Linked DNA regions of Schizosaccharomyces pombe. The protein of the gene in region 3 purifies or fractionates together with the protein of the main gene of each other region. This does not show direct contact. Each region holds a gene or a part of one and is shown on either strand. Other genes may lie near its edges.

Region 1 (7,790 bases), on a different chromosome or scaffold from region 3:
CAAATTTCGATTTTCACAAAAATTCATATATAAATGTTCGTACCTCACAGTTGCTAAATAATCTAAACCATCAAGTGGTATATCATATTCCAAAGATTCTGAAGCACTATTGTTGTCGATTTGTGGAAAAGCGCTGCGTTGATTTGTTTCCTCATCTAATGATCCTGAAGTCTGATATTGTAAAGGATTTCTTTTTCTTTTCGAGGGCATTTTGAATTATTATTGTACAATTGCAAACTTCTCATATAAACCAAATGGAAAAGAATTACCGAATTTTCATGAAAATACTCAAGGAATGTAGGCTGTTTTTTTCCGGCAACTTTTCGTTTGTAGTTAGTTAACAAGGAATGTTTCGTAAATCGAAGATTACCCTAGTATAATAGAATGGTAAGGTTAAAGAGGTATCTGTAGAACTATCAATGTGAAGAGTCTATCTTGATCAAGTGTAATGCTAAAACTAATTTTAGCTATTTCTTGATAATTCCTTTACTATCATAAAATTTATTACTTGTTCTTATTTTCAAAGAAGTTCAAAGTTTTGCATTTTTTTGAAGTGTATAAGAAGCTAAAACTGGGAGAATATTCACTCAGACAGAATTGCCTATCCTTGAACTAATTTAATAAACATAAAACATATAGATATGTAGGAAATTGTACTATTCATTCTTCTGTCAACGCAAGTAACACCATCTGCGGCCACTTAATCAGGCACTTACTCTACACAATATACAGATCAGTGCTTTATCCCCAAATCCCATTGTTCATTGGTGAATTGGTGTTTTGAGCAGCACATATGCCCATTCTAACATGCAGATATAAAATTCTGTTTCTTTATAATTTACGGAATTGCTTTACTTTTCAAAATCAGCGATGTCTCATACCATATGGAACAACCACTACCATTAGGTGGTATAATGCAAATTTTCAAGCTGTTCAAAACAACTTTTCTGATTATAAAAACGAATTGATCTCTTCACATCGTCCAGAAGCTTCCAGTTTACTCGACTTTTTGGTAAAGGATCAAAAGAAAAGTGGTGATATTAGTTTGCATACAAAATTTAATCTATATGTGGACGATTTATTGAAAAAGAGCGAAAAAGGACAAATTAAAAAATTTATTAATGATATTAAAAAAGATTTGGCTACGGAATCTCAGCTTCCATTGTCTGCGCCATTCAAAGATGAATCTACTCGGACTATGACAGATCCCCAAGTTTTAGCTTATATTCATCAGTCTATGCCGTATCAATATGCTTCTCTATACAGCGTATTGACTGACTTGAAAATTGTAAACAGTGATGTGTCTTGCAAGTCTCAACATATACTGGATTGCGGTAAAGGTCCAGGTATTGGTGCTCTAGCTAGTTATTCAGTCTTTCCCACACCTAATTCAGTTTCAATTGTTGAGGAGAACCCATTTTTGAAAAAAATCATATATGATATTCACCATAACATTTACCCGTCAACTTCGCCGAATCCAACTAGCCCTGTTACGCTTAACCGTCTACCATTGGGTAAAAAGGATTCATACACTCTAGTTATTGCATCTAACAAGCTTCTTGAAATGAAATCGGAGAAAGAACTCTTTGATTATCTTCGTTCGCTTTGGAGTCTCGTGTCAAATGATGGTGGTCTTTTGGTGCTCTGCGAGCGAGGCACAAAGCGTGGCTTTAGTTTGATTCAAAGAGCTAGAACATTTCTATTGCAAAAAAGTAAAAATACTTCTGATAAACAATTCAATGCCCATATTGTAGCACCCTGTCCCCACGATGGTCGCTGCCCCATTGATATAGAAAATGGGGTAAGAGCAAATATTTGTTCTTTCAAACAACATTTTTTCCTATCCCCATTTTCCCGTCTATATGTCCCTCGTTCTCATCGTCGATCCTCGGATCGCTCTCATTACAGTTATGTTGTTATTCAAAAGGGTATAACTAGACCGCTTAATAATACCACACAAAGGTTCAAGAATGATGAGGATTTACTAGAAAATGTGAATGTTACATCTCCAACTCTTAAAAACTGGCCACGTATAATTCGACCTCCACTGAAGCGAGATGGACATGTCATAATTGATGTCTGTGATAGCGATGCTCGGCTTAGAAGGAATATTGTTCCTAAATCACAAGGTAAACTAGCTTATCGATTAGCTAGGAAAAGTGCTTGGGGCGACTTGTTTCCGTTAGAGGGCAAAGTTCAAAGTACTTCTCCAAGTAGTAAAATTACTAAACATTTAAAAGATGCTTCTTCTACCTATTCAATCAATCCCCCCTCATATAATAAACCCAAAGTTGAAAGAAATACAACTGCAGATCCTATTTTTGTCGGAAAACGATTCTATTCGACTAATCGTCATAAAGCTTTTTCTCGATTTGCAGACTTTAATTCACATCGTTTCCCTTGTATTTTTACTTCATTTAGCTGTTACAATTGCATCTCTGGTACCAGGAAATATTCACGACAATATTCGAGAGATAAATTCCACTATAATCAAAGGACCACTATCTATTATCTGGTTGCAATTTCCATTTTTGCGTTGGGCTTGACATATGCGGCTGTACCTTTATATCGTCTTTTCTGTTCGAAAACAGGTTATGGTGGCACTCTTAATACCGACCAAAGTCGTATGAATGCAGAAAGAATGGTTCCTCGTAAAGACAATAAAAGAATCAGAGTTACTTTCAATGGCGACGTTGCAGGAAACCTTAGCTGGAAGCTTTGGCCCCAGCAGCGTGAAATATATGTTCTTCCAGGCGAGACTGCTCTAGGGTTTTATACTGCTGAAAATACGTCCGACCATGACATAGTAGGAGTTGCAACTTATAATATAGTACCAGGTCAAGCCGCTGTTTACTTCTCAAAGGTTGCATGCTTTTGCTTTGAAGAGCAAAAGCTAGATGCTCATGAAAAAGTAGACTTGCCTGTGTTTTTCTTTATAGATCCAGAATTTGCTGATGATCCAAATATGAAGGATATTGACGATATTCTTCTAAGCTATACTTTTTTTGAGGCCAGATATGATACCAATGGCAATCTTTTAACTAAACTCAACTGAAATAAAAATTAAGGGACTACATATTGAGTGAACTACAATAATTTATTTAAAATAATTCATCAAGTTAACCTTCTAGTTACGAGACAAATAACAACGAAAATCACTACAAACTTACTAGAATAACTTTCTCCGAGGTTGCAATTCGACATTAAAACTATTGTATTCTCGTAAAAAAAGTTGAAGGCCTTTGAACCAATAGTATATTATTTAAATGACAAAGTCATGAAAGTAACGAAATGAAATAGAGACGGAACAATTTATTTGGCTACCGCCTGTTGAATAGAATTCATCATTTCTTCTTTTATAATAAGCTGTCTTACCTTTTCCAATTTTCCAAGAAGTTCAGTAATATTGGAACCCCACTCATTCAATTGCTCTTGCACATTTTGAGATTTCTTGAATGAAATGACTTGAGCTGGGCGATCAATCTTGGCATAGAAATGATGCTTTGCAATAAGATCGCAAAGAAATTGTTCTGTTTCGGAAGGACTCATATCCAACAACACTCCTAGACGACTGCAATGAATGCGGGAATAATAGTTTGCGACTACACGAATATTGTGTTCGATGACTCGCTTACGAAGTTCAGACCAACGTTTCTCACCTTTTTCATCATTTTCAGCAAAAACAGGATTACTCCTTAAAGCACTTCCATAGATTTCGGCAATTTTGGGCCATCTCATTAGTTCATTGACAATAAAGCACTTAACCAATTGTTGGAGTAAAGGAAGAGAATTTAGTTTATGGTCAGCATTAATTCGGTGAAGAAGATCTGCCTGCTCGTTATCATAAGGAGTAAGCAAGGCAAAGCAAACGACATTTTCTAATATTTCTTTCCATTTCTCGGGGTCCTCTTGAACCACGGCGGTGTCATAAACTGCTCGATAATATTTACAAACATCAAGATATGCATCGTCGTGCAAACCAATTCGGATTTTTTGCTCATAATACTTAAGTTTTAAAGACTGGACGTCTTCCTTTTCAAAAAACTTAACATTTATTTTCTTCGTGTAAGTAGATGCCATGTAGTAATCAGACCTCAGTAAGAATAATCTAACTTGATCCAAAATGAATGCAACTTTTTCCTTCAAATCAAAAGATCCGTAAGTCTCTACTGGTTCATTACACAAGATCTCCTGGGCAGATTTGATGTCACCTTGCTCTTCTTTAATCTGGGAAAGCAGTTGTGTAAGACGTGCCCTTTCTACTTCCACATATATCTTTCCATCAGTAATAGTACGCAATGTTTCAATCAAATTAATTTTTGTTTTTAAATCGTCAATTCCAGGAAGATAGGTCATTACATGTTGGACTAAACTTGTCATCGATTGTTTCAGTTGGCCATGCTTTTTAAAGAGACTAACCAACTGTTCGTTTAAGCCTTGGAAATCACCAGCTCGAAAGAGCAAATCAGCAATGTATATTAATACTTTCGTATTCGTGCTGGTGTCAGAAGCCTGACGAACTTGCTTCTCAAAAATCAAAAGCTTCTCGAGGTTCGCATCCTACAATTACAAGTTAGAGATTAGTCAAAATTTTGATTTTTACGTACGATGTCTATGGTATTAAGGTTATTTAAACTTTTTTGTAACTCTGCAAACTTCTCTGAGTAATCAACTTCCGGTTTCTGTTCCATTTCGATATGTGGGTTGTTGGAGAGTGTACAATTGAGACTAATATTGCGAGTTGATTTCTTATGATTACAGAGTTGTAACGCACGCTCGCAAAATACTTTAGTTGTCAGCAATAGTACACTACGCTATGATACACTACGTTGCGTATCACTATATGTCATATGTTGGAATACTAGCTAAGATCCGTTTATTGATAATCACGGGTAACTATCCGTCTATATACATAGATACCCGTTGATAACAACTATTTAGAAATATTATAAATAGCGTTACAACTGAACCTCGTTCCTCAGTTCAGTTATGAGCTATATTAGTGATAGGTAACATTATAACTCAGTTAATACAATACCTATACTCAGTTGCTACTTATACAACCTGTGTATTGTAATATAATAGACCACAAGGAAAACTCACCGCAGTTCTACGTATCCTTAAATCAGATACCAAACTGCGTAGCTTACATTAGTGAAATATAGTGCTTATTTCTTCTATAGAAGTTCGTAAAATGCTGAAGGGCCGCAACATATTAGACGTGCTTTCAACGACATTCTAAAGAATACACCCTAAGCTTGAACCTCAAGTTATTTCAACGATTTAAAGGGAAGTAAGAGATAAGGTTCTTTGTGAAATCGTTCAAAAGTATTTCAAGGATTTGGGTTAGTGTAGCGTTCAGTTTTATCACTTGAAATTCATTTGCATCGACAGTTCACAATAACAAGATGAGCAAAATGGCCGGTCTAGATAACGCTGTTATGGTCCGTGACGATCAAGGAAATCCTTTCATTTTAGTACGTGACCAGGAAAAGAAGAGAAGATTGCATGGAATTGATGCTGTAAAAAGTCACATATTAGCTACCAAAACAGTTGCTAATATTGTGCGTACTTCTTTGGGTCCCCGTGGACTGGATAAAATTTTAATCTCTCCAGATGGAGAGATTACGGTTACCAATGACGGTGCTACAATCCTCGACCAAATGGAGGTTGAACATCAAATTGCAAAGCTGTTAGTTCAGTTGTCTAAATCTCAAGATGATGAAATTGGGGATGGAACTACTGGTGTTGTTGTACTAGCAGGTGCATTACTGGAGCAGGCCGAGGCACTTATAGACAAAGGTATACATCCTATAAGGATTGCAGATGGTTACGAAAAGGCATGCCAGGTGGCTGTTAAACATTTAGATGCTATTTCAGATGTTGTCGACTTTAGTCCCGAAAACACTACTAATTTATTTCGTTCTGCTAAGACTAGTTTGGGTAGTAAAGTGGTTTCCAAAGCTCATGATCACTTTGCAAACATTGCTGTGGACGCGGTCCTTTCTGTTGCTGATTTGCAGAGAAAAGATGTTGATTTTGAACTCATTAAAGTAGATGGCAAGGTTGGTGGTTCAGTGGATGATACAAAGCTTGTAAAGGGTGTTGTGGTGGACAAAGACATGTCGCATCCACAAATGCCTCATCGTATTGAAAATGCAAAGATTGCTATTTTAACCTGCCCTTTTGAACCACCAAAGCCAAAAACTAAGCATAAGTTGGACATAACATCAGTGAGTGAATTTGAAGCCCTTCAAGCTTATGAGAAGGAAAAATTTCAGGAAATGATTAAGCATGTAAAGGACGCAGGAGCTAACCTTGTTATATGTCAATGGGGTTTTGATGATGAAGCAAACCATCTACTTCTTCAAAATAATTTACCGGCTGTACGTTGGGTGGGAGGTCCCGAAATCGAATTGATTGCTATTGCTACAAATGGACGAATTGTGCCCCGATTTGAGGATCTTTCGTCTGATAAGCTTGGTTCAGCCGGTATAGTGAGAGAGGTGTCGTTTGGTACGACTCGTGATAAGATTTTAGTTATAGAAAAGTGTGCCAACTCTCGAGCCGTAACCGTTTTTGTACGAGGAAGCAATAAGATGATTGTCGATGAGGCGAAACGTGCTTTGCATGATGCACTCTGTGTCGTTCGTAATCTGATACGTGACAACAGAGTAGTGTATGGTGGTGGTGCTGCTGAGATTTCTTGCTCTTTGGCTGTCACCAAAGAAGCTGAAAAGATTCCTGGTATTGATCAATATTCCATGGGTGCATTTGCAGATGCTTTGGACACGATTCCTCTTGCCCTCGCGGAGAACAGTGGCCTTTCGTCCATCGAAGCTCTTACAGCAGTTAAAGCTCGTCATGTAAAAGAAAACAAGGCATATCTTGGTATTGACTGTTTGCAGACCGGAAGTAATGATATGAGAAAGCAGTTTGTTATTGATCCTCTTATTGGAAAGAAACAACAACTGCTTCTTGCTACTCAGCTTTGCAGAATGGTACTCAAAGTTAACGATATTATCGTTGCCGGTTCTAAGGATGATGACTATAACTAAATGGCATTTTCATCCGCACGGCTAAAGGAAATTTAATTTACTTCATTTCATACGGCAAGCATGTGCTTTTTTGAATAAAATGGTGATTCTGTGTACTTATGTCAAAATAAAAAATTTCTTGCATATATATAAATTTTTTCTACTAAGCATCATATTGAGTCCGTATTTCCAGTTTCAATAGTATTTTTACCTACTCAGAGATTGTGAGCTTTTCAAAGCCTTCAGACACTCTAACCTTGTTTATGGCATTATTTTTATACTAAACTCTGTTTATGATTTGTTCCATAAAGCTGTACAAATAGACCAAATACATCAGCGCTCAAGACGGAAATCGTCGGCTACTTTTTCCGCAAAAACGCTTCTGGTAGCACCTGTAAAGCCGAGTTTGGGCAAAATGATATCAGTTTTCTTAATTGAGCCATGCGAGGATATTTTCCTAACATTTCTCGCTAATCTAGACTGAGTCTTTTCGCACAGAAATCCATTAGTATTGGATTAATGTATTCATCAACCTTTGTTCCTTTGCTTTCCTTCATTGTAAATAAGGAGGTTTAGTGTAGTAGCTTGGACCAAATCCGACGCTTTTTAAGAGGGGTGAAGAAGCAAAGCAAACCAACCTCCACACAAAAGAAAAGAACATCAAAAGACTACGATTTGCTGATTTTCAGTAAAATCCTGTAATTAAACGGCAAATACTGCCTTTAAGTTCAGCGTGAAGTTGAAATTAAAGGA
Region 2 (8,115 bases), on a different chromosome or scaffold from region 3:
CTTACATCAAATAAGCCAGAATGCTCCCGTGTCCACTTATGACTGGCACTAATGGTTTGACCTTTATACTGTACTGGCATTGAAAAACCAGCAAAGGGGACTATGGTAGCTCCTTCTTTTAAATGCAGATCATATAAAGGAGTTCTCTTGAGTGAAGAAGAAGCTGCCGTAGAACTTTGGCGCTTTAAGATTGATAAAGCAGCAGATCTATTCATTATGAATTCAAAAAACCAGTTAAATATTGGAGCAAGTCTTAAACGTTGAAAATAAAAAAGAAACCTTGTTAAACTTCTTAATAAACAATTGTTTGTTGATTCCGTAAACCAACATACGTTAGTGGTTGGCAAAGGTTGAAAGATAGATAGGAATACTTGACAAGTACAATATCATGCTACATCAAAAAATCATATCACGCTAAAATGTCATATAATAAATTAAGTAGCCTCAGTTATACCTTTATGTATTCAACTTCAATGGTTTGACGCTGATCGACGATCCTTACAGGTACATTACAAACAATCAAGGAAACAAAATTTTTAACATGTTGGTAGAAGATGTTTACAAATTCAATAATTGAAACAATTTTTTCTTATTGGGAAGAAGCTTGAAAGACTGGTGTGCAGGTATATCTTAAGGATCTATGAAAAAAAATATATAAGAATCCATCAAAGCAAACGCTCGCAATCTCAAGAGCTTACCAAAATATCATCAATCATACTCCACGATCATGTAAAAAGTTTTAAAAAAAATGTACTCCTAGTCACGAATATGAAATCGTAAAAAAGTAGTATCAGATTCGACCAACAGGATTATTCAAACAGTTCATAAATGCTTTGAGTAAGGAAAGAAAGTAGCTCATAAAAAACGGATGATGGAAAAGAGGTATTACCAAAATAGATGTACTAGAAGGCAACGGAATCAAGCATACAAGCTAACATGGAAGAAATATTGTTGTCTATACATTTCTGAACCTCAGCGTCAAGATGCTTCTTGGGATCTTGTTTACCAACGTATTGAATACGAAGTTGCTCCGGACTTAAAGTCACTTCATTTTGAACACGTTCAGTGTACTGTTCTGACAAGGATTTCATCTTATCAATAGAAGCATGATTTTTTTCCGCAGCAGAATTAAAGTTTTCAAGTAAAAGACCATGTGCCCAAGGCTGTTTGTGTAAATTCAAAAGCATGATCTCTTCAAGCTCAGTTTTTTTGTAATTGATGCGAAGGGAGTAGTAATGTCTTCCTAAACCGTGAATTAAAGCTTGAATGCTAGGTTTGTTGATGTGACCCAAATTGGAAGTTGTTTGTCTGGGTTCCTGACCCATCATTAGGGTAGACGGATTAATCAATCGAAAGGCGTCAATTACCACCTTTCCTTTGACAGATTGAATAGGGTCGACAACAACTGCCACCGCTCTTGGTGTTAATTGCTCAAATGATTGTTGGGTGTTGATATCGACACTAGAAAGCCAACAACCAAAACCCGGGTGAGAATGATACCAACCTACAACCATTTCTGGCCGTCCTGTTTGCTTAAGCATATCCATCATATTTTTTTGGAAAACTGGATCGACTGCTTCTACACTGACACCTGTACCAGATTGAGGCATTGCAAAAACATCAACAACACGTACTGTAAAGTCATCAACGAATTCTCCTAACATCAAACCCATAACTTCCATTGGTGTACCATGTCGCCCATGACGAAGCATTTTTAACAAAGCTAGAGATGAAATGTATACACACTCGGAATTATCAACAAGAGGCTGATCTCCCATCATACCAGTACCCATGCGGGCACCTTGTAACAATCTTTGTAAAGATTCCATCGCGAAAAATATGACTCGTATGTATGTATTGAAATATGAGAGTTTATCAGTATCAGTGGGGTTCCTCTCAAATAACCGCAAATAAAAGTGTAATTGGAGATTAAATGAGAAACTCAGTATAAGTATTTAAATAAAGTTACCAAAACGTTAATGCTGTTCACTGATATTTAGTAAGACGACAAAAACAATCAAAGGTCACTATAATGTGCTTGTTCTTCAAAGGAAGTTCTTTCTATATGTTTCAACCACTATACAAAACGAATATACAAGATTCTATGTCTTTGGTCTCACTTAGGCAGCTAGTATACGTTTACGTGGTAGTTGGCTATAAACAGGTTTTTTCTAGAGACAAATGAATAGCTATAACAATAATGAGGTATAATGCGTATTGTTAAAATAAAATAGTGATTTCATTAGAGTGCGTAATTCATAAAAGAATATGGTAGGTGGATGGAGAAAAACTATGCAGAATAGAGGAGGCATCCATTGCTATTTAAGTATAGCTATTGAGAGAAAAAAGGACGTGTTTTGAAAACTAGCCGGGTCCAATTTTAGGCATGTCAAAATGCTCCGACTGACTTTCCAGTAGTCTATTATACTCATCAATCCTGTCTTTATGTGTTTTCAATCGCTCATTCTTTGCTTTCTGAAGTAATCTTTGTTCCTGAACAGACTCAAAATGTTTCTGTGCTTCCGTCATCGGCATAGCCGAGTCTGTATCCTTTGAGCGAAGCATTTGGTACGTAGATACGCCATTTTCTTCTAAAGGTGATTTATCTCGGGAAGAATGCTCTTGAACTTTTTCAGCAAGTTTTTTAGAATCCTTCTTTTTCTTTTTCAAAGGTTTTTTTTTTACATTTTTCAGTTTTAGAGAACCACCAACGTAGTCCATAGTTCTTGGTAAAGGTAAGTTGGTGTAAGCAAAATGTTTGAACTGTACGATAAGAGGTGAAACAGTTTAATACATTTTACACTAGGAATTGAATTTAAAAATAAAATAAAATAAATATAATTTAATAGTAAAAGTGTAATAAGTAATACAATAAAAGAATTGATGTATGTTGTGCAAGTTTATTAATGGGCTCAATTTAAAAAAAATATGTATATATATGTACAATTTCATTGTACAAGTATACTCTAGAAGCGACGATTATTCATTAAATAAATTATTATTACTTTTTTTTTGGTTAATAATGATACTTGAACCGTTTCTTTTAAGAATTGTAGAAAAAATTGAATATTGAAAAATTGAGTTACTCAATGCTCATCAGAAAAATACGGAAAAACTTATAATCGATATTTTTAAACTGATTTGTTTTTATTAGACTCCTTTTAATTACTTAAAATATTTATTTTTATGAATAAATAAATGCATTTCGACTTGGACTTTAACACATTATACGGTTAAGTACCTTAAAACAGCATAAAAAAATAAATGGCAATGCATCGGGATGGTTTCTCAAATATATTAAGCTTCGGTAAAATGTTGAACCGACATCTAACAAACTCCTTACGCTTACTATTAGCTTATAGTCTGTTATTTAAGATTAACGTACCCTTAATAGAAGTGACATTGACGTTGGACGCGACGCTGATACCTAACCACAGCAAACCTCTTTTTAATGAAAGGAAACAATTGAATTGATTACATTACAATTACTATGAAGGTAAATATATTTTACTTTTTATTTGTCTTACTAAACCCTGTTTTTGTGACCAGTTTCTTGAGCTTGCCGATTTAGATACAGTCAATAATGCCTTATCATTTGATGCCGATGATTGTCGCATACGCGGAAAGTGCGAGCTCTATACAACCAAGGTAAATTTAACTTGTAAGCTTGGTTAGTCTGGTAAAGGGAAAATTGTACATTGGTTCTTGAATTTGACATATGCTTTTAATAATGATCCTCTTTTCTTGCGTGGTCAAATCACTAAGTTGAACAATTTTGGTTCTTTTTGGTCTCTTGTACAAGATCAGCTAATTATATAATCATTGTTTTTTTTTGTGATTATTTATTTAGTTTCTTTACGTTTCAAATCTGAAACCAAAATGATTACGATTGTTGTTTACCAAATGGAGTACCGCGTCTGAGTGTCTGTTTTTAGATTCGGGAGCATTCTGCTTTATTAACTTACCAAGACATGAATATACTGATATATAAAATGTGCTAACAATTTTATAGAGTACAAATTCTGACAAGAAACTCTTTAAAGCTATAGAGAATCGGTGTCAGGAGGATCTATTTGCATTATCGAGTAGTAAATCACCGGAATATGCTTTCAGCCTAACTCAGCAAAGTCCATTTGGGCCTCTTGATCAGTCCTCTTCTCGTCGTACCTTTATGTACATTGTCGCTACTCTTAATGCCTCTTATCCCGATCATGATTTTAGTAGCCTCCAACCAACAGATTTTTACAAAGAGCCTTCACTATCTCGTGTTGTAGATTCCGTTAATTCTACACTTAATAACATTGGTCGTGGTAGATTGAGTGTGAATGGAATTTGGGAAATTATCGACCGTCATATCAACCTGTCTGATTGCAGCGTTTATTCCTATACTCCAGATAGCGACAGCGATCCTTACGGCGATGATGCTTTAATATGGGGGATGTCCTACTTTTTTTTTAACAAAAATATGAAGCGCATGCTTTATTTATCACTTCATGGTTTGGGCAAGGAAGTCTCGGGTCGGAATCGTTATGGAAATGACGATGATTCTGTGTTTACACCACTTGCGGACGATGCAGAGCCAAGCGATTTTGATGACGATTGGGTTGCTAACATGGATGATTAATTTTTTGGTTATTTGGGAAGTAATGGTTTCTGCTACTTTCTCTTTTTCTCTCTTTACATTTTGTTCAACTCGCAAACTAAATTGCACCGTGCTCATTTTATTATTTCAGAATCATGACTTTTCGAAATTTTCTTGTTTTTTCTAATTGTAAATACATGAAACCTCACCTTTCTTTAATATCTCCCTGTTAATTAGTTTATTTCAAATTATTTATAGCAACCCTTTCTTTTTTGCATTTTTGAAAAAAAAAATATGCCCCCAGCATTTTAGGTACTTCTTGTTTTTTGTTTTTTATCCTTTAAGGAACCTATTTTTTCACATGTGATTTGTACGTTAAGATTTTCCAGACTGTACTACGGTTTCTACTCTCTTGCAACACACGTGTTTATACATAATAGATTAAAAAATTTCCAACAACTGTTTCATAGGTTTGTACATGCAATTTGACCTTAGAGGAAAATTTTTTAATCTGTCCTCATTAATCATCTGAGCCTAACTATCTTTAAACGTTCACATCAAGTTCCCGAATATTTGAAGCCTTATTAAGCATCATCTTGACATAGCATAATGATGTATTCAGTTATTCAATTTAAAAATTACCTTTTCTTTGAAAATACTTCATTTACAACAAATAAAAGCTATGCATTTACTTAAAAGATAAAGAATTAATTTCATAGTAGTTGTATTTAAGGAATTCAAATTACCCTAAGAATTGATGCTTTCCTATCATTTTACCCGAACATGAGCTCTAAGTTGAGTAGTAAAAAATAGAAATGTTGAGTGCATAATTCAAATGTTGAATACTTGTTCTACCGTGCTTCATGATAGACGTTTACTTAACCATTTCCATCATGAAAAGAAATAAATAATAAAGAGAAAAAAGGAAGCATTGATGAAATAACCACAAAAGATTCTTTAAAAAGGACATTTCCGATATTCGCAGACGAAACAAAATAATGCGTAAAGCGAAATGTCTAAAGAGTTATGATAACGATACACATCTAAACCGACGAACAGAAAACGTATTTGCAAGACAGTTGAGCGATTACTTAGTTAATGAATTAAATCAAAACAAGCTTTCTGTTTTTATCACTTGCCGTAAGTGCTGAAGAATGAAGTGGTAACTTGAAATTAAAATTGATCAACCACATAAATTAGACGCTGATAGACAAAGCCGCAGATTAGTAAGAGCGAAAACGCAGCCGAGAAAATGTCACAGGAAACTAGGATTGATTGGGAGTCGTTAAAGCCCCATATATGATGCAAATGAAATCTATAGTAAATTTAGTACACTTTTTAACCGAGAAGTAGGACCCAATGTGAAGAAAAAGATCAAACCTATAGCCATAGGGCTTGACGCAACTTATCCAAAACGCGCGCGTCTTCGCTACAGGCAACTTTCTCGACAAGAATATCATAAGGAGCGAGAAACTTTGGTGCTTGAACAAGCGGTGGACCCGCGTCTGGATACAGTCCATATGGAATAGTGATACGTGAAAGGTTAACATCACTACTTGGCGTGACTAATGAAGGATCAGGGATAGGCGAAGAATAGGAAATAAGGTGAAGTTTATGATTTAAGGAGGTAGTAATACTAAAGGACTGCTTAATTAAGCCGTTCGGTTTGTAATGCAACCCCCGTAGGTTCTCATCATCAACCGACTCTTCATCACTCAAGCTCGCGGCTCCACTGTCCTCATTGCTGTAAGCATTTAGGGAACTATTACCAGTCGTATCTGCAGAGGGAGAGCGTTTAAGGGAACCATCGGTGGAAAGACCGTGATGGTAAGGTTTACGTTTACCCTCCATTTCTCGGTAGGTTAAGAATGAACCGCTGACACGAGAAGCACTCCATGATTTACCATCAGTCCAACGGCGCATTCCAGCTTCCCGTTCATCCCACACAAAAACACTGCCTGCTCGTATCAAGCTTCTTTCATGGTCGGACAATCGACGCTGGACGCGTGGAAGAAGACCAATTCGACAGGCCTCGAAAAGGATAATCGCATCCAACGGGGTCTTAATGATACCTGTATAAGTTTGCATGACGAAAGGCAAAGCCGATCAGATCGTAGTTTGAAGATGAAGTAAAATCAGAAAATAGCTGTCACGAAGATTCAAAAAAAAAAGCGCACTGGATTAGTTACCAATGCAAAGATCAAAAGAATCAACTAACGAAGCTCGGATTAAAGAGAAATAAAATAAATAGTTTTATAAATATAAGTAGAAGATAAGTTGACTGTGCGTGTATATATACAGCTTGACCGATAAATGGGTAGTCGAGTAAGTATACAGGAATGGAGACCTTCAATAAATTATGCAATTCAGTCCGAACGAACGCAAGATCTTAGGAAATTCAAGCAGGGAAAAATTAAATCTAGATATTATCTTCAAAGAAAATTCAGTTGCAAGACTAGCCGATTTGATTACCTTTTAGTACTTTCTAAAAGAAAATGAAACAATTAAACGGCAGGGAGAAGCAAAATTCAGAAACAATGAAGGAAAGTAAAAATTATTTAATAAATGATTTTCTTTCTTTTTTTAGGGAGTTATAATAAATATTATTATTCGCGGTTTCAACTGATCGTCAAAAAAACACCCAAAAAAAACAGACTTGACCAAAAAAACTTCCAATCAAGTATTAAATCTTTACAAACCCAATAGCTCACTTGTATGTTAAAAGCAAAGAAATTTAAATTCAGCTTTTTTAACAATGCTCAAGGTTGAAATTTGGCAATAAGAAACGTCACAAATAGTTAAAAATGGAAACAGTCGAAAAAATCAAGATAGATCAAATTTTTTTCTCAATGAAAAAATTAAACGAATCCGTTCACTAAAATAGAACACCTTTCTACACCGGTTCTCTAGTTGTGGTAAAAAAAGGTCCCTAAAAGTTCTTTGCAAAGGAAAAAGCTAATGTACGACAAGGCAAAGTAGCTGTTCTTTGGTTTACAATGCTTCAATCATACAACCGGTACAACTTCACTTGCTGTTAGTTTATACACAAATTTGCTTAATTTAATTTTGTTGTCCAACCTTTTTATTCGTCAAAAAGACGCTATTCGAAGGTGACAACGTTTTGCTGCTTAATGCAACACTGCGGTTGGTGAAGGAAAAGTTGAGTCAAGTAGGTTGAAAGATAGTTTATATGTGCGAGGCTTCGGTTATGTTAGCGAGTTAAATTTTTAAAACTCAAAAAAAACCTAATACGGTAAATATTCCGTAAATCCCTTACCCAACGCTAATCCCGATAGTTTTAGGCTGGTCTAACAATTTAATAAATATAATTATTTAGTTTCCGCTGCTAGATAAGATTCAAGGTAAACTTTTTCCCCAACACTGTTGATACGCCTTTAATGATCAACAACAAGATTACTTTGATTATCAAGTACAAAGTACAATGGAATATATTTTCAATCCAACAACTGCGTTCAAAACCAAAACCTGCCTTTCCAATATTTGAATTTTGTTATTCTTTAGTAGGGACCGGT
Region 3 (7,366 bases):
TAAGCGCCTGGCCATCCAAAGCAAACCAACTCAAATGTAGGAATTGATACAAACATCGAAAAATGTGCACTTTTAAATGTAGCGTTTAAGAATACCACGCTTACACACTAATATGAAATGTAAATCCGAGTTTACGAAATCTGCCAACTCCGGCGGTTTAAATTATTTAAGAAATTAAGGGGGTAACAACTTTACTAATCCTCCCCCCACATATTCCTAATGATGGAAAAACGGTATAGGAAAATTGCGACATCGGTATGACTGATTTGGTAATTGTGCTATAAATTTATATACGAGGGTTTGGCAGTTTTCCTTCATACTCGCAGTAGCGTAATTTACACCTTAAAATTTTTCACAAGGATGTTGAGAGCTTCCAGTAAGCGTTTACAACTATCTTGGCAAGTGTTTCGTCGCTTTCAAAGTTCGAACCCACAATTGTCATTTCCTTGCGTAGATCAAGCACAGGAGCGTAGCAGACAATTCGAGCAGTCTCTGCAAAAACAGCAGGCATGTCCTAACTCTGTAGACCCTAGCGCATCTATCACATCCCCGTCACTCTCTTCAGGTCCTGAGCCTGTTTACGGTAAAATTGTGTCAGGCTTTAAAAAATTTTACCACAACAAACCCTTCTTATGCGATCATGGTGGTATTCTGCCGAAATTTGAAATAGCTTACGAAACTTGGGGAACATTGAATAAAGATCATTCTAATGCGATTCTTCTACACACCGGTTTATCAGCATCTTCTCATGCTCATTCACACCCTGAAAACACGGCGCCTGGATGGTGGGAGCAGTTCATCGGACCGGGTAAAGATGTTGATACCAATAAATTTTTCGTTATTTGCACAAACGTCCTTGGCAGTTGCTACGGTAGTACGGGCCCATCTTCTGTTGACCCTGGTGATGGTAAGCATTATGCCACTCGCTTTCCAATCATCACTGTAAATGACATGATTAGAGCGCAGCTTCTTCTTTTGGACCATCTTAAAATCGAAAAGTTATACGCTAGTGTTGGTAGCTCTCTCGGCGGTATGCAATCTTTAACTTTGGGAGCATTGGCCCCTCATCGCGTGGGTCGAATCGCTAGTATTTCTGGTGGAGCTCGTTCTCACCCCTATTCAATTGCATTGAGATTTACTCAGCGCCAAATCCTCATGAATGACCCTTACTGGAATCGCGGTTTTTATTATGATGGTGTCCCTCCTCACACCGGTATGAAATTAGCTCGTGAAGTCGCCACTATTTCTTATCGTTCTGGTCCTGAGTGGGAGCAACGATTTGGAAACCGACGTGCTGATCCTTCGGTTTCTCCCGCTTTTTGTCCCGATTTTCTTATTGAAACCTACTTGGATCACGCTGGTGAAAAATTCTGCTTGCAATACGACCCTAACTCACTTTTATACATCTCAAAAGCTATGGACATGCATGATATGTCTGCCTCTCATCAGCGTAGTTTATCGGAGAACAGAAAGAAGAATCAACATAAACTAGACAAATACCTAAGTGCCGACGTTTCCGCTGAGGAAATAATAAAATTAAATGAAGATACAAGTGTATTACCTGACGTTCCTTATCAGGAGATAGCGAACGAAGACCGTGCTCCTGAACCCGATCCAGAAACGAATTTGATAGCTGGTTTGGCTCCCCTTAAGGATACTCCTGTTATGGTCATGGGTGTCGAAAGCGACAACCTTATGCCTGTTGAATGTCAACGTGAGACCGCTCGCTGTCTGGAAAAAGCCGGTAATAAGCAGGTTGTGTATCACGAACTTGATGCCAACGAAAGTTTTTATGGTCATGACACATTTTTAATTTACCGCAAAGATCTTGATTTGGTCGGTGGTAAACTGAAGAAATTTTTGGAATTATCTTAAAGTCCATAAAATTTCTTCTTTCTGCTTTATTATTTGCGACACTTCTAAGTCATTTTTTAATTTTTTTAAGTTTTTTTTGTTATAATGTTGAGTGCTTTGTCTTCAAGCTCGTAATATTTTTAGATTCTTTACCTTTTTAGGCGTTGAAGTTTTAGAGGAAATTGCCAAAAATGCGAACAAGAAACCCTTCAATTGAGGGTTTGTGGAAGGGATATAATGAATAGGCATTTAACAGTTATACCCTATTCAATTACTCAAAATATCACAAACCTGTGGTAAAAAAGTGCTTCTTGTTTATTCATGTTGTTTAAAAAGATTTCTAGAATCCTTTTGTAACTACCAAAGTTTCAGTATGCATTGTTAAAATTAATAATTTTTAATATACCTACTCACATTCTTGTAGCTAATATTTGTAATAATGAGTAATTGTGTCTTTGACATTTAACTAATCTTTTTGCAGGAAAATAAAAGAGGACTCGAAAACATATTCTCCTAATAAGCTTCATCAACACCGTAAATAAAAAATATCATTACAATAAAAGAGTTTTCATAAGTGATGTTATTATGAAAAGAGGGCTTCTCTAAACAAAAGGGAAAAGACATATGAACCTTATAAACAAGAAATTCTTAAGTCGGTTTGCATGTAATGAAATAAAAGAGGTATCATTATTGAATCGTAGAAGTTGTAGAGACTCCAGGGGCAGAACGGCCACTCTTTTTACGAGCAGCTTCAGCTTCTTTCTCATCTTGAATCTCTTTAACAATAGTGTCTATTTTATCGGAATGCAAGAATTCTACATCTTTGCCTGGATCCATGATGGCCAACTCAATGTTTCCAGAAGCGGTTTGAACTACTTCTAAAAGACTGGAAACGGCGAGGTGAATTGTCTCGTCGCGAGATAGTCCTTCTTTCCAATTTTTTTCAAGATATTCACGAGCAGCCTTACTAGCACGGCCGATTGCAGTGGCTTTCCTATATTCTTTGTTAACAAATTGGTCTTAGGAAGGAAGAAAGCAAAAAAAAAAAAAAAAAAGCATCCATAAAGGTAAACTAGCAATGCTGATTTTACAGAAACATATAACGGACATACCATGCATTATAGATACCAGCAGGCTCTGTCTGGTAAACCCGTGGAGTGTTATCACCAACGTCGAATCCAGCAATAAGGGTAGAAACACCAAAAGGTCGTACACCACCAGATTGAGTGTATTTTTGCTGAACACCAGCGACATAGCGAGTTAAATACTCAATAGAAACAGGATCTGCCAAATTCAATTTATGGTTTTGTGCTTCAACACGAGCTTTATCAATTAAAATTCTAGCGTCGGCATTTAACCCTGCAAATGCTAGACAAACATGGTTATCAACCATAGCAATTTTTTGGAAATTAGAAACGTTTTGAAGTTTAGGAACATTCTTTCGTTCAACACCTATTACAATACACTCATTTCCTCGAAGAGCAATCTGTTAATGATATATGTAAGCAATTTATTCCATCCAATTCTACTCTGGTTTACAACGTACTGCAGTGGTACCACGGCGGACTGCTTCTTGTCCGTATTCTACTTGAAGCAAGCGTCCATCTGGTGAAAAAACGGATAATGCACGATCATATCCCGACATGGTGAATTCTTGGTAATCTGTAGGTTTCGCTTTGCTGATTTCGAACTAGTAAGCAATTAGCGTCGTGGTTAATGCTGTTTAGTGCGTTGCGGTGAAGTTCGTATGTGGTTTATGATGAATAGTGGGTAATTTTAGTCTCGTTAATTATAATATAAAAACGTTGGACTTTTTAAGCAAAGCATTTTGGATTTAGGTAAAAAGTCTCAATCCTAGTATGAATGTTCTATATATTTTTCTTAATTAAAAATTATAAGTTAATATGTGGCTGTCGCCATTTGTCTCCATATCATAATGACCATTGAGAATAAGCACATATAGTGCCAACACTTACATATTCACTGAAACTTTATTAAGAGTCTATATAACTGTATATAATATATATATGTAAATTTTTTTTAGTTATCACGCAAGAAATATGGATCAGCCTCTATTGTAGCACTATTGTAAGTTGCAAAGACTTTGTTCCAAGAATAAATATTATTGAAAATAAATTTATAAATTTTTTTTTTTAACATATAAAATCAGCGTTATTGTTTTATGATTAGTAAAAGAATTAATAATTAATGGTAAAATAATACATTCTACTTTCTTGGTTACAGAGGACCTTTAAGTTACGAAAGTAAGTGAATTTAGGAAATATTAGGCCAAACATTTATGAAATAAACCCCATCTTTTTTGAGATCTAAATCAAATGAAAGCTAATCAATTAATAATCCCACAATTGTAAGATTTGATCTAGCTATGTATATAAGTCTGACGAAAAGAAAAAGTCAATAAACGGACTACTTCGCTTAAAAATAGACTTAAAAAAGCGAAACATCTCATATCTTCATAAAACATATGATAAATTAAAAGAAGTATTAAATTTTTTAATATTAACTCTTTTTTTTAAATAAAAAATTTCTTTTACTCAGAAACATCATAAATTCAATTATTATATCTTTAATAGCGAAATATTGTTCCAGTTTTTTCTCACGGTTGAATCGCGATTTACAATTATGATAACAAATCAAATAAATTCTATTTACGTACGAATAAAAGGTTAACGATTGTCAAATATTAATTAGAAATTTTATCAGTTCAAAAAATTGAAACCAGGTAGTTCCTATTACCACATTACTGTTATTTAGTATAGTTGCATGCAGAATATAGCTCCCATTCTTTTTTAAAATTCGGGGTTTCTTTTATAAAATGCTGAGCATCTTTTTTACTTTCAAGCATCAAATTTTTTTTGATGTATTTTACTTTCCGTAAACAATAGTACTCCAATATAAACTGATTAAAGTAACTTGTACGGTATAAGATTTAAGCATTTGAAGGGAATTTTTGTGCGAAATTGAAGCTTGATGTTAATGTTGGTAAATGTAGTGTCAATAATAAATAAATAAATAAACTACATATATAAAACATGTGTCGCAATGTGGAAAACAAGGTATAACCCTGTATCCTTAATATTTTTGAATTTACAGTTTTTATTTATTAGAAAGGATAGCATTCAAATTTTTTTAATAAACAAACAAAAAAATTTTTAAGAGCAGCCTTTAAAAATACATTTACGAATTAACGGTTCATTTACGCAACAAATAAAAAAGATAAGAAAATTGTATTTACAATATGCTCTTGGAGACATTGATGAAGTAAAAAAACTGAAGCAAAAATTTAAAGAACGAAGAAGTGTGGTGCAAAGAAATTTGGAACATCTAATATTAACTTTTCCACCCAAACAAATGTATGCTTTGAGCAACAAAAGGAGAAAAAGGAAGCCATACCACAATTCATAGCTCTATTTTTCTTTATCTCTGGTAAAATTTAAAGACTTTAGCAACGATGAATTAAGGTATCTTGGAATTTTGACGCATGATCTACATCCTGCCACCATTTAAACATAAAATGCTCACAAATAAGTTTGAACCATGGTGTGAATCCATATTGAGGATCGGAAAACATCTCTTTTAACTCTTCCATAGTAACATACTTATAGGCTTGAACTTCATTGGGATTGATATCCAGCTCAACTTTACCTTTGAAGAAAAGAATGTAGTCAACTAGAATGTCCGTTAGTCAAGTGTTCAATAAAGAGAAACACGGATCAACCACATACTTTCATGCTCTCCCCAAGCACCAGTACTAGGAGCAAGGTAATGGATTCGTGTAAGAAACTGAAATTTGTCTTTGGGAATATACTTGGCTTGAATACCCAATTCATGGAACAGCTTGCGTTGAGCTGCATTCTTAACACCTTCAACAGCTTCAGGTAAAGTATTACCACGTTCACCAGCAACATCCAATGGGTGGGAGCAACATGTATTCGTCCATAAGGATGGAAATGTAATTTTCTCTTCTGCACGCTGCTGAAGTAAAAGGCGATTTTGCTCATCAAAGATGAACATAGAGAATGCTCTATGCAAAAGACCTTTATTTATATTTTCCATCAAATGACCTAAAAGGCTTGTTAGAATGGGTTTCCTTCAATTTCATTATAAATCTCCAACAATCAAACATACACTCCTTTTTCGTTCCATATCTTAAAGGGACATCATTTTCATCTACAACGATACAAACTTCTTCCATCAACCTTAATTGTTCTTCATCATAATCCTTTTTCTCTTGTTGGGAACTCATAATCATAAAGTAGGCAAAGAGCAGGTACTTTATCGCTGGTGCAAAATATTGCTTGTCTATAACCAACCACAACAACACTAATTGGAAAACAAGTCTGATTCACTTAAAGCAAGAATTTTTTTCTTTCTGTTTGTTTTCCTAAAGTTTACATAAGTATTATTGAAAATTTGCTTCTTAGCTTAAATTTCTACCGTTAATTTTTTTGTTTCATTTTTCAGTTATAAATTGTGATTGCAATATCCCATTTACTCGTCTATCACTTTTTTTAATAGAATTGATTAATACTTATTAAAAATAAGCAGTCTATATTGCTAGACCTGGGCTTGCTGGTTGTTTATTATATCCCGGTTAAAAATTTTTTTAAGGGCTTTTTTCGCCTGTTACTGGTATTGCTACACTAATTGATTATTTGTACTAGTTTATGATTTATATTTTCACAAAGATACATTAATATGGTGAAAAGACGCACTGCTGCTGTTTTACCTAACAATCTTCCTCATCTACAACATCTGGTCAAAAAGGATCCAAAATCCTACAGAGAAGAATTTTTGCAGCAATGGAATCACTATGAAACCGCGCGCGAAATTTTTCTTGTTAATCCATCTTCAGACATTTCCGAATTTTGTTCATTAATCGATTTCATTTCCCAAACTTGTAATTATTATCATGATGTTACTGCCGACTTTCCTAGCGAATTAATTGAGCTATTACAAAAAAACCACACAATATTCCCTTTCGAACTTTGTGAAAAAATCGTTTTATGCCTTGTTCTGTTAAAAAATAAAACAGTAATATCTCCTATTACATTACTACAATGTTTTTTCCCGCTTTTCCGTGAAAATCCTACTCGTGGTGTTCGCGAACTTTTGTATCAACAGGTATCTCTCACCATTCGGAATGCCAATAAACAAGCCAAAAATGATAAGTTGAATAAAGCTGTTCAGTCTGCTCTGTTTACTTTGGTTGACGGTTCGGGTAGTGGTTCAGCAACACATACTGATTATTCTGGACAAAAGCGAGAATATTCAGCAAGTGAATTATCAGGTGTTTGGGCTGTCAAAATGGTTCGTGATTTATGGAAAAGGAATGTTTGGTCCGGTGATGCACGTGCCGTAAACATCATGAAATCTGCCGCACTATCATCAAACCCCAAAGTTATGCTTGCAGGGATTTACTTTTTCTTAGGTGCTGACAATCAAGAAGAGGAGGAGGAATCTGATGATGAGGGTCCAGATGTTTCCAAGC
Region 4 (7,459 bases), on a different chromosome or scaffold from region 3:
CATATCATAAGAAGAAATTTTCAGCTTCTGTTGAAGGAATATCGAAGATTGCTGATCATTGCTTACAATAATTTTATCAATTATAACATTCCAATCATATACAGCATTCCTTTCAGAGATTTTTCTGTATCGGGCAGCTGGTTCTCTTGAAGAAGTAGACTCGGGGATGACAGATGGGTTCGAGTTATTCATAGTTTCCCATATGGACTGTAAACTGGCGGCACTATTTACTCCTTTCGAGTACGAAGAACTCCGAGAAGAGCTGAGTGAGTATGGCTTTAACGTGCCAGACGTATTCGTACTCAAGTTATTTGTGGATGCCGAGAGATTCACTTCATTCGACCAACTATCACGGTTCTTAACTGTATAAGTTCCAAGATCGACATCCTCTGGAGATAATGGTGTTGACGGTTTAGAATTGCTATATCGAACATTGGTACGGATCGATGGTAATGAGTTATGGGATTTTAGCTTGCAATTGTCCGATTGGAAATTAGCTAACGAAGCCTCATAAGGGTTAAAATTCGAAGAAGATATCCATGGTGAAACTGAAAAACGAAATTTTGGATCTCCGTTTCTATTAGAGTTCAAATTTTCCTCAGAAGAAGATGCAGACAATATATTTTCACCTGTTACGTTTTTGACTGCTGTTCCAAATACAGGAGCATTCGTGGATTTAATACTGTTCGAACTTAATTTTCGAGAATAATTCAACGAACTTGAAACATCAGCCAAAGCAGTTGCCGAAGGAACAGACAAAGAATCCTGCAATGACATGCTCTTAGGAGCTGAAGTTGCGTATACTGCATGCTTTTTAGTCCCAACAACAGGTCGAACTAATTCTACAGAAACAGAGGTAGATGGGTTATGAGCAAATGCATCATTTTGAGAAGAAGCCCCATCAGACATGATATTTGCATTAGACAAGAGCGTTTGTAATTCTTCAATATGTTTCGTTTTGGTACACAAATCTCTTTTCTGATTGTCGATCTCTCGTTGTTGACGTTGAACAACAGTGCTTAATGCATGGAGTTTCTTTGTAATATCGAAATAAGATTCGCTTTCACTAACATTTGAAAGTTCATTTAATTCTGACTTGGAATGCTCCAGCGATTCAGAGATTGAATGATTTGCAGAAGTCGAAGGTAGCCTTAAATCAATTGACTGCATAATAAACTCTATAAATAAAAACTAATATTTAATGGATATGGTTTTTTCTGTTCTTTCGGAAATTGGATATTGGTGGATGAAGAGTTGCTGACACCAGGCTATAAATATCCAACCAAAACAAATAGTGTTTACCAAGGTAAGTTCACTCAGAAAAATAAACAATAACAGAAACAAACAAAATAAACAAAACAAACACCAATCGAAGTAATATTTGAGAAAATAAGTAGATTAAGGACAAGTATATCTAAAAAAATTAAAAGAAAAACAAAATATTTGTTAGTATTTTTACAAAGTAAAAGATCAATAACAGTCTCAAAAAAAAACTTTCTTCACTTTTGAATGACAAAAACAAAAAGAACCAAAAAGTAAAGTCTTTCAAAAGATTACAACCCCAATGAATTATTTATATAGAAAAACAGAGCACACTCAACAATATTTCAACATTGAAATGAAGAAATAAAGCATATTATTTCAAAAGCTTATCAAAGAAGGGGATAAGGGTTTGAGCCATGGTAAATGAAAAAACAAGCTTAGGACCAGTTGTCAACAATTTGGGAGTCAACCCTTTAAAGAACGAGGTAGGTCCTTCGAATTTAAGCATATTTTTCAAAATAGTAAACCCGGATTGAGGGTTATCAAAATTCTTATTTTGAATACGAGTTTTAATAACATCGAGAGGGGCAGAGACAATCAAACTAGCAGAAGCACCAGCGATTGAGGTGAAAAAATTTTGAAAAAAAGTGGCTTGAGAGTAATCCTTTAGTTTAAATATGTACTCCTTAGCAAAAGCGTTACCACCAAAGAGTGCAAAAGAACCTGGGGCATTGCGGGCGGCAGTCCATCCCCATCCACGATACAACGCAAATTTCTCATCAGCGAGAATTCTGAAAACACCGCGACCTTTAAAAGCTGCAGGATTGGTTTGGCGCTTAATTTTCAGGACGTCTAAGGGAAGGAGGAAGATCTCTCCAATTCCAACGATACTGAAAAGTTAGTAAGCTATACACATCTTGAATTCCCTTTTCAACAATCTTAAACATAAGCTTTCAGCTTAGTTAAACAAATATTCGACAGATACATACCTTCCAGCAGTAGCATGCATAATGGCTTTTCCAGATCCCTTTCCAAAAGTTTTATCAAAAGTATGTCTATAATTTTCATTCAAAAAGTCTTTTACCTGAACATGTTAGTAAAGATGAACGAGTATACTGAAGCCAACTGCGATACATTAATTCCGCCATCAAGGCTTGGAAAAAACGTACGCTTTAAACTACCAGTATAAGTACTCTACAACATACAATTGGTTGACCGCTATATTTATAAATACGTTGTACAATTTTGTAGCAAGCAGCATAGCCCAAACCAGGAAAAAGAGAGGTAGCCTTTTGGAGTAGAGGAGCAGAGGCAGCATCTCTGAAAATTACAGTGTTAAGTTGAGTTAAAGAAGTAATTTTTCCATGATTTGACATCAAACGCTTGGAAATTGTATCAACAGGATGAAAGAGTGAAAGTTCGAGAATTCCGGCAGATGCTGATCCCACAATTCGAGCGGTTTGCGACTCTTTGTTTTTCAACTGAACAGGAGCCATCTTTCTCTATCTATTTAAAAATTTAATTAATAACCAAAAAGTTTCGTTGTGTTGAAAAAGAAAAGTTAAAGGATTTTAGTGTAGTGAACTTTTATTGAAATTTTTTTCATTTTTTGATAAGAACTGATAGCCTTCGTTTTAGAGATAAGATGAAATATCGTTGTTCTCAAATAGTGATCTATGTTTTTCTGTTAATATTTTTAAACGTTTGAAATAATTCCAAAAACACAAATCCTATTAATGTAAGTTTGCAAAAAATCTCATGCATATGGCTTTGATGAAACGTGTGGACATACAAAATATCTGAATTCTAACTGTTTCAATTGCTTCAGACGAAAACTTTTAAGAACGTTCTTACTGAAAGTTTCTTTTACTTGTTTCATCGTAAATATAGTCATCGAACAGATATTTAATGAACTTTTGGAATGCGTCTCACGTGTATTTCGGTTTGATTAAGTAGTTAAAAGTGATATACTATGCTTCAAATCGAAATACCAGCATGTAATTTGATATGCAAAGTATTTCTTTAAAAAAAGAGCAGATGGTTTCAAGATATGTCTTCAATATTTAATGTCCATGTCTTTTCAGAATTTATTTGAGTAAATTACGTGCAATTACACGTTTAACATGATTTAAATGTATAGCTCTTCAATCCTTTCTACATATGAGAGGGAGTGTAATATAATTGCCATTTAGTAGCCTAATGGAATGATCATTGTTTAAAGCATTGTTATATTACAGCGCTTAATAGGTAGTTGGGCATTTGAAAGTATCGTAATATTTCTGTAATGAACTATGTCTTAACTTGCGGTAAGTAGGAAACCGCTGCAGCATGTGATGAGAGGTTACACGCTTTCAACCTTTCGTTTGCCATACACAGTTGAAGTTGTGAGAGACAAATTTTTAATATAAACCGGTTATAATGCCTCCTGCAGTGAGCTCTGAAACCTCTACAATCGTCCCACAGCAAGTTGTAAGTAGAAAATTTGAGAAACTTTTTTATTAACCATTGGTTAGATTGTGCATCCATTAGTACTTCTGTCAGCAGTAGATTCTTATAATCGATCTGCCAAGGGAACCAAAAGACGGGTCGTTGGTATTCTATTGGGTCAAAATAATGGCGACGTTGTAAACGTGGCCAATAGTTATGCTATACCATTTGAGGAAGATGAAAAGAATGCATCGGTTTGGTTTTTGGACCATAATTTTATGGAATCAATGAATGAAATGTTTAAAAAAATCAATGCAAATGAAAAATTAGTTGGCTGGTATCATACTGGACCACAACTCCGACCCTCTGATTTGGAAATCAACAACTTACTTAAAAAATACATACCCAATCCCGTTCTTGTCATTATCGATGTAAAGCCCAAATCAGTGGGTCTTCCGACTAATGCCTACTTTGCCATTGATGAAATTGAAGACGACGGCTCTAAGTCCAGCAGAACTTTTGTTCATCTACCCTCCAGTATAGAGGCAGAGGAAGCAGAGGAAATTGGTGTTGAACACTTGTTACGTGATACTCGTGATGCATCCGTTGGTACTTTAGCGACAAGAGTTACCCAGCAGGCACAATCTTTACAAGGCCTTGGGCAGCGTCTCACTGAAATCGCAGATTACTTAAGGAAAGTCGTGGATGGGCAACTACCTATAAATCATGCTATCCTTGCCGAGCTTCAGAGTGTGTTTAATCTTTTGCCTAACATTTTTAGCGGTCCTGTGGTTTCAGAACAGGCCTTGGAATCAGAGGCACAACGTGCTTTCAATGTGAATTCCAATGATCAGTTGATGTCCATTTATATTTCCAGCATCGTGAGGGCCGTGATTGCTCTTCATGATCTTTTGGATTCTTTGGCTGCTAGTAAAGCTATGGAACAGCAGGACATAAAGCCAACTGTTCAAAATGGAGAAGTTTCGGCTAATGCCGAACAAAAGGCTTAATCACTGTATTCATACTATCCATGTCTGGCTTCTATCATTTGTGGACTCCTCTTTCTGAGATTTAACGACTTTATCTAACGTAGGTTTTTTATTTCAATGTCTAAGTATCATAGAGTTTTTATTTATATCTTGTCTTTTCGCAGACAGTTTTGCAGATATTTGTAACCCTCTTAACTTGTAAAAGTTACACGTCGGGTTCGGGTTTATTTGCTTGTATGTTAAAAATGATATGTCTACGTTTGTTAAATTGTATTTACGAAGGATAAAAGTGTAATTTTAAGTTAGTACGAAGAAATTGCATACAAAATATCATATTTTAATTTACAGTGATATGATGGATAGCTTGAGAAAAAACTTTTCATGAAAAGAAATCCTAGCAAACGCCAAGGTGTCAATGTTAAAAAGTAGGCTGACATTATATTAATGAAGTAAAAGGGAATAGGGATACGCGTACAGGTGACCAGCATCTCTTTCTTTGAGCTCTTTGATGAAAGTAGGTTCTAAGGAAGTTAAAAGAAACAGAAAAACAGCAAAAGAAGTAATTCGCATTTTTGGTTTTAATATCCATTTGATTCAAAAAGCTGCCATGCCTCGAAACAGTGAGAACCATTAGGATCTCCTTGGCAGCTAGAAATATCGATAATAGAGCATATAAGTAACGCATCCACACTGTGAAAAAGTTAGTATTTTACGCGAGGATAACTAAATATAATTACTCACATCATGCTGAGGCCGCCCTCTATGGCGCCAATGATAAGCCAAGCAAGGAATCCGCCTAAAAGTCCTACAATGTAGCCATAAAAGACACCATTTTCATGAATGGAATAATTCCACGAAGTAACGCCAACTCCTATAGCGAGGAGGGAACGAGCGGCTAGCAAAGTGTATTTAGAAAAATAGTAGGAACGTCGGCGTAATCCTACTCGGTTCAATTGTTCGATTTGATACAAAGCCTTGGACGCATTCATGTACGGGACTGAGTAAATTGATGCGTATGCTAGGGTAAGAGGAGATGTGACATACGAAGCAGACGTCTTTGAAAACATATAATATACAATACGCGAAACGTGTCTTAGCCATGTGGGTAGGAAATGCAATGGTACTTTGGTGATAACAACTAAAAAGGAAGAAAAGGCACATAAACCATACTGATTGGAAACAACGTGATAGAAAAAGTGAGAAACTAAATTGGTTTTGGTAGCCGAAGACTTAGTATCACGATAAAAAAACCATTGAGAAACAATTGAAGAAATAATAGCGCTACAATTGTGTTAGTAAAAAATCCGGCCAAAGCAATATAATAACATACCATTGAAGAGCATGAAAAAATGTGCACAACCATAAGAAATGAAGTGAATAAAAGGAGGCCAAGACCCAAGAACTTCTCGGCAAAACCCATACAGAACCAACAAGGGTAGAACCGCGCAAAAATAAGCGGGCAAACAATCTTACCCATATAAAGATTAAAACATAAAACGAAAACAAGAAGCTGATGAATATTAAAGTGATTTGAGGAATATCAGCTATAACACGACAAGCAAGCCGAATAATATTAAAGGAAGTTTCAAAATGAATACGACGCCGCCAAACATAATATGAAAGCAGAATGGGTGCAACAAGCAAAATTATCCCAGTTAATAGCATCAACTTTGGTTGAATTGACGTTTCCAAGTGGATCCTAGACGCTTTTAACAAGTAGACAGCAAAAGCAAACATGGTCAATGGGACCGATGCTAGCAGGAAGTACAGAAAACGAGGAATTGCGACAAGACAGAAGAGCCATATAACTGAAAGCATCATACAAATAATCGCATCTTTATGAAATAATGGAAATGCTTTTTGTATTGCTGCGTAAGGAGAAGTGGCTGGAGGAATATTAGGATTTGTCCGCCAAACCATCAGGAAGCTATAGGTAAAGAGAGCCAACGTCAAAAATCCAAATGTTAATCCCCATTTTCGATCTGGAACCTTCTGTTCTGATGGAAGATGGGCATCATAAGGTAATTCCGTATATTCTTCATTTACGCTTTCATGAGATATAGTCTGTGGATTCGGTTGAACACCTAAATTTTCGGAGAAATTTCCATTGTAAATAGAATTCTCTTTAGAAAATAACTCGTTTTCGTTCCTTGAAATATGAGAGTTTGACTGCTCTTGTTCTCGTAATTGCCAATGGATAGACCCAGAATCTATCAAGGAGTTCAAACCATGCAAACTCGAAGACCCGGCGCTCAAATCAGTCTCATGACTATCAATTGAGCTATTTCTGTCTATGCTAACACTCTGAAGATTCGATCTTGAGGTAGGATATTTAAAATTGCGCTGGTCAACAGAAGAGAATCTTGATTGTGCAAGAAAACGCGAAGCATCTACTCGTTAGTGTAACTTTCTTCTATTACTACTTACAATCGCTAAACATAGATTTGCTTCACGTATATAAAATCACTTTACTAGTCAATTTGAAGGAGTTTTGGAAATTGGTCGTTGGGTGCAAAGGGTTACTCATTCCTCTCCATTGAAATCTATATGACGAAGATGGTAGCACTTTGTGGCACTAACAAATATATCCGTTAAGCTTAATTGGAAACCTTCTACTACTATGAATTTAATAACCGACCTCTACATTTGCAAAAATTGCAATTAAATGTTTTTGCTAATACGATTTACTGTCGTTATAATAGAATGGGTATCAAGTATGTTTACATTGAAAATAATGATCAATTTCTTCATAAAAACGATAAAGGAGAAGAAGATAACTT

Evidence for each region.
Region 1: the proteins of pre6 (region 3) and rpn501 purify together in Schizosaccharomyces pombe (affinity purification with mass spectrometry, with the first as the bait; one study listed by BioGRID). This does not show direct contact.
Region 2: the proteins of pre6 (region 3) and rpn11 purify together in Schizosaccharomyces pombe (affinity purification with mass spectrometry; 2 studies listed by BioGRID). This does not show direct contact.
Region 4: the proteins of pre6 (region 3) and rpn8 purify together in Schizosaccharomyces pombe (affinity purification with mass spectrometry, with the first as the bait; one study listed by BioGRID). This does not show direct contact.

What each region holds. Positions count from the first base shown.
Region 1 is NC_003424.3:1,263,170-1,270,959, reverse strand, and holds rpn501 (19S proteasome regulatory subunit Rpn501), read right to left. Parts: upstream 4,692-7,790; coding exon 4,608-4,691; intron 4,561-4,607; coding exon 3,313-4,560; 3' UTR 3,180-3,312; downstream 1-3,179. Other genes in the region: yip12 (SMN complex subunit Yip12/Gem2), read right to left, coding at 44-210; rsm22-cox11 tandem protein cox1101, read left to right, coding at 794-3,055; chaperonin-containing T-complex epsilon subunit Cct5, read left to right, coding at 5,418-7,058. UniProt on the Schizosaccharomyces pombe protein: Acts as a regulatory subunit of the 26S proteasome which is involved in the ATP-dependent degradation of ubiquitinated proteins. Required for proper proteasome assembly.
Region 2 is NC_003424.3:3,004,693-3,012,807, reverse strand, and holds rpn11 (19S proteasome regulatory subunit, ubiquitin-specific protease subunit Rpn11), read right to left. Parts: upstream 2,163-8,115; 5' UTR 1,830-2,162; coding exon 903-1,829; 3' UTR 501-902; downstream 1-500. Other genes in the region: glycine decarboxylase T subunit gcv1, read right to left, coding at 1-215; SPOM_SPAC31G5.21 (FAM32A family protein), read right to left, coding at 2,365-2,721; RNA polymerase III-inhibiting protein Maf1, read left to right, coding at 3,491-3,496, 3,550-3,648, 4,013-4,624; cAMP-independent regulatory protein Pac2, read right to left, coding at 5,963-6,670. UniProt on the Schizosaccharomyces pombe protein: Acts as a regulatory subunit of the 26 proteasome which is involved in the ATP-dependent degradation of ubiquitinated proteins.
Region 3 is NC_003423.3:405,629-412,994, reverse strand, and holds pre6 (20S proteasome complex subunit alpha 4 Pre6), read right to left. Parts: upstream 3,521-7,366; 5' UTR 3,500-3,520; coding exon 3,401-3,499; exon of another isoform or gene 3,341-3,400; coding exon 2,967-3,340; exon of another isoform or gene 2,938-2,966; intron 2,849-2,937; coding exon 2,542-2,848; 3' UTR 2,229-2,541; downstream 1-2,228. Other genes in the region: cys2 (homoserine O-acetyltransferase), read left to right, coding at 361-1,875; isopentenyl-diphosphate delta-isomerase Idi1, read right to left, coding at 5,318-5,544, 5,601-5,939, 6,004-6,127; SDA1 family protein, read left to right, coding at 6,574-7,366.
Region 4 is NC_003421.2:387,066-394,524, forward strand, and holds rpn8 (proteasome regulatory subunit Rpn8), read left to right. Parts: upstream 1-3,628; 5' UTR 3,629-3,681; coding exon 3,682-3,732; exon of another isoform or gene 3,733-3,776; coding exon 3,777-4,700; 3' UTR 4,701-5,027; downstream 5,028-7,459. Other genes in the region: meiotic pumilio family RNA-binding protein Mpf2, read right to left, coding at 1-1,170; ggc1 (guanine nucleotide transporter), read right to left, coding at 1,637-2,153, 2,253-2,347, 2,469-2,759; ctl1 (choline transmembrane transporter family protein), read right to left, coding at 5,258-5,369, 5,421-5,960, 6,010-7,069, 7,107-7,119. UniProt on the Schizosaccharomyces pombe protein: Acts as a regulatory subunit of the 26S proteasome which is involved in the ATP-dependent degradation of ubiquitinated proteins.